Xenopus tropicalis: one gene and its partner. The protein of the gene in region 2 binds, or shares a complex with, the protein of the main gene of each other region. Links are inferred from orthologs where the notes say so. Each region holds a gene or a part of one and is shown on either strand. Other genes may lie near its edges.

The links.
Region 1: the proteins of pex14 (region 2) and pex19 are in contact, whole or in part, in an NMR structure (PDB 2W85), measured with the Homo sapiens proteins. The link is inferred for Xenopus tropicalis from reciprocal best matches to the Homo sapiens genes PEX14 and PEX19. Residues at the interface, in NP_004556.1 of Homo sapiens: Leu28, Thr31, Ala32, Lys34, Phe35, Asn38, Ser39, Arg40, Val41, Ser44, Thr48, Phe52, Lys56, Leu58; in NP_002848.1 of Homo sapiens: Gln67, Phe70, Phe71, Leu74, Phe75, Ser77.

Annotation. Positions count from the first base shown.
Region 1 is NC_030684.2:138,225,512-138,229,164, reverse strand, and holds part of pex19 (peroxisomal biogenesis factor 19), read left to right. Parts: intron 1-506; coding exon 507-607; intron 608-695; coding exon 696-861; intron 862-1,171; coding exon 1,172-1,257; intron 1,258-1,424; coding exon 1,425-1,586; intron 1,587-3,620; coding exon 3,621-3,653. UniProt on the Homo sapiens protein: Necessary for early peroxisomal biogenesis. Acts both as a cytosolic chaperone and as an import receptor for peroxisomal membrane proteins (PMPs).
Region 2 is NC_030683.2:64,045,870-64,049,622, reverse strand, and holds the start of pex14 (peroxisomal membrane protein PEX14), read right to left. Parts: upstream 2,163-3,753; 5' UTR 2,091-2,162; coding exon 2,055-2,090; intron 1-2,054. UniProt on the Homo sapiens protein: Component of the PEX13-PEX14 docking complex, a translocon channel that specifically mediates the import of peroxisomal cargo proteins bound to PEX5 receptor.

The DNA.
Region 1 (3,653 bases), on a different chromosome or scaffold from region 2:
ACCTGCTATCCCACAGCCCCAGTCCCTTCCCAGAGGCTATTATCCCCCCACTGCTACTATTAGGCACCATCTCTCCCTACTATACCTGCTATCCCACAGCCCCAGTCCCTTCCCAGAGGCTATTATCCCCCCACTGCTACTATAGGCACCATCTCTCCCTACTATACCTGCTATCCCACAGCCCCAGTCCCTTCCCAGAGGCTATTATCCCCCCACTGCTACTATAGGCACCATCTCTCCCTACTATACCTGCAATCCCACAGCCCCAGTCCCTTCCCAGAGGCTATTATCCCCCCACTGCTACTATAGGCACCATCTCTCCCTACTATACCTGCAATCCCACAGCCCCAGTCCCTTCCCAGAGGCTATTATCCCCCCAGAGGCACCATCTCTCCCTACTATCAATCTCTTAGAGATTAGAATCATTCTGATGATGAGGTTAAGGTTTAAAAAGTGTTTGAAATCAAAATGTTCTGTGTGTCCAAAATATTTGTTTTTTTTCCAAGGTGCCCTTGATGATTTTGAGAAGACTAACCAACCTCCCCAAGCCTCAAACACAGCTACAACAGCTTCTGGGCCTGAGAAACCTTCTGGAGATGCTGCCAAGGTGAGTCGGCTCTGTCCCATGTTGTCGGAGACAATTTTTGACAAGGGAACAGATCCCCATTTGGTTATCCTTTCTCTGCTCCCAACAGGACGCCCTCTTCACGTCCCAAGAACAGTTCTTCCAAGAGTTGTTCAGCACTGAGCTGGCAGCCCAGGCCACACAGGAGTTTGAGAAGGCCATGAAGGAGCTGGCAGAGGAAGAGCCTCACTTGGTGGAACAGTTCCAGAAACTCTCGGAGGCTGCAGGGAAAGTTGGTAAGAATGGAGATGGGGAAAGGAATAGACATCTCAGAAGGTTCAAAGCCCCACCCCCCCTTCATTTAACCAGCCCCAAAAGAAGAACTTAAAAATAATAAAAAAGGTGCACTTTGTATGCCCTTAGATAATAGATATGATACAGCCAGCCTAATAGTGAAAATAGCCTAGCGATTTGGACCTTGAGCACCATAGGCGGCTCCCTGGAGCGGATCATAGTGCACCTCACAAACTTGCTAAGATCTTATTGTAGATTAAACAAGGAAATTACTTTATACAAAACAACATGGCTGCCTCCTTTTGCCAACAGGAAGTGATGAGACGTCACAGCAAGAATTTACTTCCTGCCTGAAAGAGACACTCTCAGGTCTAGCCAAGAATGCAGACGAATTGCAGGTAAGAAACGGTGGCCTCTGCAGAGGTAAAGTGCCTCAATATGTGATTATAATGTGCAAGACCAAACGAGGGAGACAGAGAAAGCCTCAGCCACTAGGGGGTGCCAGTTTGTTAGGCAGTAAGGAACAATTCTGAGTGACTTACACATCTCCATTTCTCCTATACAGAACTCCAGCCTATCGGAGGAAGAGCTGGCCAAGACAATGGAGGGTTTGGGGATGGACGATGGTGAAGGGGATGGAAACATCCTGCCTCTCATGCAGAACATTATGCAGAATCTCCTCTCCAAGGAAGTCTTGTATCCGTCCCTCAAAGAGATCACAGAAAAGGTGAGGACCTAGACCCTGGCTTGTGAGCCACATTCAAATGTAAAAAGATTTGAGGAGCAACACAAGCATACAAATAGTTCCAGGGGTGCCAAATAAGGGCTGTGATTGGCTATATGGTAGCCTCTATATGGACTGGCAGCCTACAGAAGGATCTGTTTGGTACACCTGGTCATTATGTCTCATTAAGTCAGAAATTCAAAAATTCATAAGCACCTGTTTTGAGACCCCTGGGAGCAACATCCAATGGGTTGGTGAGAAACAAGGTTATATCTGTAACCTTGTTATGAGCTAAGGGGGCCCAGCCTGAAGGCCAGTTAGGGGGGATTTGGGGTGAGTGCTTATTTGTGCCCTGGGTACCCCTGGAACTATAGCGGGGTGACTGTTACCCCAATGTTTCTATATATCTGTAACCTTGTTATGGGCTAAGGGGGCCCAGCCTGAAGGCCAGTTAGGGGGGGATTTGGGGTGAGTGCTTATTTGTGCCCTGGGTACCCCTGGAACTATAGCAGGGTGACTGTTACCCCAATGTTTCTATATATCTGTAACCTTGTTATGGGCTAAGGGGGCCCAGCCTGAAGGCCAGTTAGGGGGGGATTTGGGGTGAGTGCTTATTTGTGCCCTGGGTACCCCTGGAACTATAGCGGGGTGACTGTTACCCCAATGTTTCTATATATCTGTAACCTTGTTATGAGCTAAGGGGGCCCAGCCTGAAGGCCAGTTAGGGGGGGATTTGGGGTGAGTGCTTATTTGTGCCCTGGGTACCCCTGGAACTATAGCGGGGTGACTGTTACCCCAATGTTTCTATATATCTGTAACCTTGTTATGAGCTAAGGGGGCCCAGCCTGAAGGCCAGTTAGGGGGGGATTTGGGGTGAGTGCTTATTTGTGCCCTGGGTACCCCTGGAACTATAGCAGGGTGTCTGTTACCCCAATGTTTCTATATATCTGTAACCTTGTTATGGGCTAAGGGGGCCCAGCCTGAAGGCCAGTTAGGGGGGGATTTGGGGTGAGTGCTTATTTGTGCCCTGGGTACCCCTGGAACTATAGCGGGGTGACTGTTACCCCAATGTTTCTATATATCTGTAACCTTGTTATGGGCTAAGGGGGCCCAGCCTGAAGGCCAGTTAGGGTGGATTTGGGGTGAGTGCTTATTTGTGCCCTGGGTACCCCTGGAACTATAGCAGGGTGTCTGTTACCCCAATGTTTCTATATATCTGTAACCTTGTTATGGGCTAAGGGGGCCCAGCCTGAAGGCCAGTTAGGGGGGGATTTGGGGTGAGTGCTTATTTGTGCCCTGGGTACCCCTGGAACTATAGCGGGGTGACTGTTACCCCAATGTTTCTATATATCTGTAACCTTGTTATGGGCTAAGGGGGCCCAGCCTGAAGACCAGTTAGGGGGAGATTTGGGGTGAGTGCTTATTTGTACCCTGGGTACCCCTGGAACTATAGCAGGGTGACTGTTACCCCAATGTTTCTATATATCTGTAACCTTGTTATGGGCTAAGGGGCCCAGCCTGAAGGCCAGTTAGGGGGGGATTTGGGGTGAGTGCTTATTTGTGCCCTGGGTACCCCTGGAACTATAGCAGGGTGACTGTTACCCCAATGTCTCTATATATCTGTAACCTTATTGTTAGGGAGCTTTGGCCATTGTACAGTTATTGAATGCTTTCTCTTAATAACTACAGTAATGCTGAGTCTCATTAAAATGACGCTTATATTTATCTGCTAATTCATAGTGCAGAAAATCATATTTTCCTTAAGATTTTACACTTTTAACCTTTTGGAAGGAATATGCTAGTTAAAATTTTGAATTTTAGGGCCATGAAGCCATTAATCCTGCAATCAGCATTGGGTCAATATTGAAGCAAGCACAGGGACTTATTTAGCATCTGTTATTAGCTTAGTGCAGCCAGTTGCCAGTAAAAAAAAAAAGCAATCATTTTGATTGGCTGCTGCAGATAACTTCCCAGGTCACAATTTTCTTTGTCAGGTTCAGTAAATGAGTTACACTGATTTCTCCTGCCTTTGCCCAGTACCCAGAGTGGCTGAGGACTCACCGGGACTCC
Region 2 (3,753 bases):
CTTAAAGGGGTGGTTCACATTAAAGAAAACTTTGCTATTGGTCTTTATTATTTATTTGTTATAGTTTTTAATTATTTGCCTTCTTCAGCTACATCTTTCCAACTCTCCCAAGGGGGTCAGTGACCCCACTAGCCAAAAAAACCTATTGCTCTGTGAGGCTACAATATTATTTTTATTGTTACTTTTTATTACTTTTCTTTCTATTTAGCTCCTCTTTTATCAATATTCCAGTCTCTCATTCACACCACTGCCTGGTTGCTAAGGTAAGCAAGACCATAGCAACCAGAAAGGTGTTGAAGTTCCAAACTGGAGAGCTACTTAACAAAAAGCAAAATAACTGAAAAAAATCAAAAATTGAAAAACTGTCTCAGAATATCAATGTCTACCTCATATTATAAGTTAATTTTAAAGGTGAAAAACCCCTTTAAAGTGGGCACACATGCTCATCATTATCCAGATACAGCCTGTGGGCTGAACAGACCAAGATCATATAAAAGGCTATACCTTACTATTGTCCTGTTCAGGGCAACCACCACAATTCCTTATCTGAAATATACCATGCACTGCCCAACATGGTACAATGGCAGATATATTATTGAAAACATGCCCTACTGACAACCCATGTAGAAAAAATAAATAAATAGCGGAGCACCACGAGGATGAAGTTAAAATCCAGTCTTTATTCCATCTTAGATAAAAGGCACATGCACATCCCTCAGGGTCTAACGCTTAACGCGTTTCGTGGCCTATCGATAGGCCACGAAACGCGTTAAGCGTTAGACCCTGAGGGATGTGCATGTGCCTTTTATCTAAGATGGAATAAAGACTGGATTTTAACTTCATCCTCGTGGTGCTCCGCTATTTATTTATTTTTTCTACACGCCTTGTTTTTCGGACCCTGGGGAGTGGGTCCGCGTGCTAGCACATTTGGACTGGCGGTAAGTGCTCCCGTGTAATATATAATTTTTTCTAACTACTGACAACCCAACCTGCTCTAATGACAACCCTGGTTCAGAGCACAGCAAGGATCAGTTTTTAACCTTTAAACACCTATCCAGTAATGGCACAAATCTAACATACTAATGCTTACAAGTGGGTACAGAAGCAATTCGGGACTGTGTGCCACCCTGAGGTGGCCTTTCAGATGCCACCCACTAACTTGGTTAGCAGTACATGAGGGCACAGAGTAGATGGCTAATGTGCAATGTCTGTAGACAAGACCCTACATGATAATCATGAGTCTGTAGAGAACCCAAAGATTTCCACTATGGCCCTGGCTACACTCATTAGTACACACTGACATCTTAGTATTTGCAGCTTCCTATACCACCTCTGTACCACAAACCCCTTACACCAAAGCTGTTAAAACATGTACTTTGCACAGTCTACAAACATTACCAACCTTTGGACTAACCTGCTGAACAACAGCTTTAAGATCAATACAAGATACAGACACAGCGGCCCGTGTTGGAAATATATGAAACATTTAGGAAATAATTTATTTAATAAAATGTCAAATTAAAATAAATCGCAGCAAAACATCACCAGTTTGTAACTGATGCACATATTCCACAATGATGGGGGGAATTAATTATAAACAATCTTTTAGCTAGGTCTTTCAATATAACTAAAGAAAATTGTGAACCCCTTTATAAATTGCATGAGTCTGGTGCCAAAGTGATACACTGCATTCATCAGGGAAAACTAAATCAGGGCAGGTCAGCAATTTTCAACTACTGTATTACAAACAAGTTTTCCAGTATGTTACTTGCCTAATAGTTATGTGGCGAAAAAAGTAAGGAGCGGAAGGAGAGCAACTGTCACGTTACGGGCAAATCTGAACCGCTACTGCTACCAGTTAAGGTCCAATGTTGGGCCATGTGTACACGGGAAGTTACGCTGTGGAATAACAGGTGCACTAATCGAACAACCAAGAAAATTAAGACCCCCTGACCCACGCCCTCCGTGGCGACCTATTATAAATCCAAACAATGTAAATATAACATAGTCAAACCGTAACGCGTCTCTTGAAATGAGGAATACCCGCGCCTTACCTGCACTGACTGATCAGCCTGATCAGAAGAAGCCATCTTCCCAGACCTCACCAATCAAACACCGGGAACACGGCCGCCGCATCAAGTTTCCATAGGCAGAACTAGTAGAGCGCCAATCTCTAAAAGTTCTATTTCTTCCTCAAGCGTGTGCTGGAGATGGAGTTTTGTTTCTAAGGAAGTTATACAGACATCCATGTCTTTTACAGCGCAAAAAATAAATGTCATTTATATTTATTCTCAGATTTCTCTTGCTGAATTCTTTTGATATGTTTCTGTAACCCCTTTTTGGCTAAAAAGCACTCTAAACTCCAGGCTATGGTTAGAGCATGGGGCTCATTGGGACTCTCTTTCAAAGGAGTGGGCCTTCGCTAAGTGGAAGGATAGATCCCAAGATATAGTTGTACTGCAACTCCCACTGGTACTGTGTAGTGTTAAAGTAATAGGACGCCAGGAGCTCTTGCAGATGAACTAGTTAACTCTTTATTGTCCAAGACAGATAATATTAGCACAGGGATCAATCCATACTCACAGTAATTGAGGTAGAATGGTACAGTTGTTAATAGCAGTTGTGAAGTACAGAACAGTGCAGCACCACAGTGGAGATAGATGTGAGCTACTAGCCAGAAGTCCCAAGGATGAATACCTTTTACTGGACCGGATCCCTATAGCCAACAGTGGTTCAGGGGTAAATACTAGCCTGATACCTGTGTCTGAACTGTGGTCCCTACAGCAAGGCAGACAGAGCCTTAGGTATGGTAAACCCACTAAATTCTCCTTGGTTGGAGCGGAAAGCTGCTCTTTCTAAATAGCCCTGACTGAGTCACACTCCTAGAGCGTGCTATGACAAAGTCTAATCCTGCAACTACCTTTACCTTGTTCACGGGGCCCTGTCCCCAACTTTACTTCAATGATAATGCTTACTGGGGCCTGTGTCTGCACCCAGGCTCAATGGAGGGTTTTACATAGGTAGCAGACCAGCAAGAAGAGGAAGCCGCACCTCCTTGCTAGACACTACATGAGGCTGCAAAGGGTGTGGACAACCATATGGGCCAATAAAGGATAGGCATAACCATAAACTGTTACAAAGGCTTCTGCCCAGTAACAAGGGATCAATGTGAAGAGATAGGGATATCACTCCATAGGGCATTTAACCCTATGGGTCCCTACATTTCTAAAACACATTTATTAAACACCCACTACAGTTAAATGAATTTATATAGTAGTGAAGATTCCACTGTAAATACTAATTACCCATATCAAAACATTTGAAGGCAATGAAATGACCATGGTGGGACCAGCTACAACATACCCCTAAGAACACACACTGGGTTATTTACTAAGTAGGAGTGCCAGCCAAGCTTTACACTTAAAATGCACTCAGAACCAGCTGTTTCTTAAATATTTTGTGTGATCTTTTTCTGCTTTTAGGAGCCTAGAAGATTTCTTTGTTTACCTGGGAACACTACTGCTTTTGTCAGGACAACTTTAGCTTTCTTAAATTTAAATTTTTTTGTAATTCCAAAAAAAAAGCTATACATTTACCTAAAAACTGAAAGCATTAAATAGTTTTCAAATATAGAAACATATTTCAGAAATATAATGCATTATATTCTTGAAAATGCAAGATTTGGAAAGCCTCTAGTCTCCCAAGTGCACAAATAACACATAAGTATAATTTTATTGAGATTTCTGACTTGTA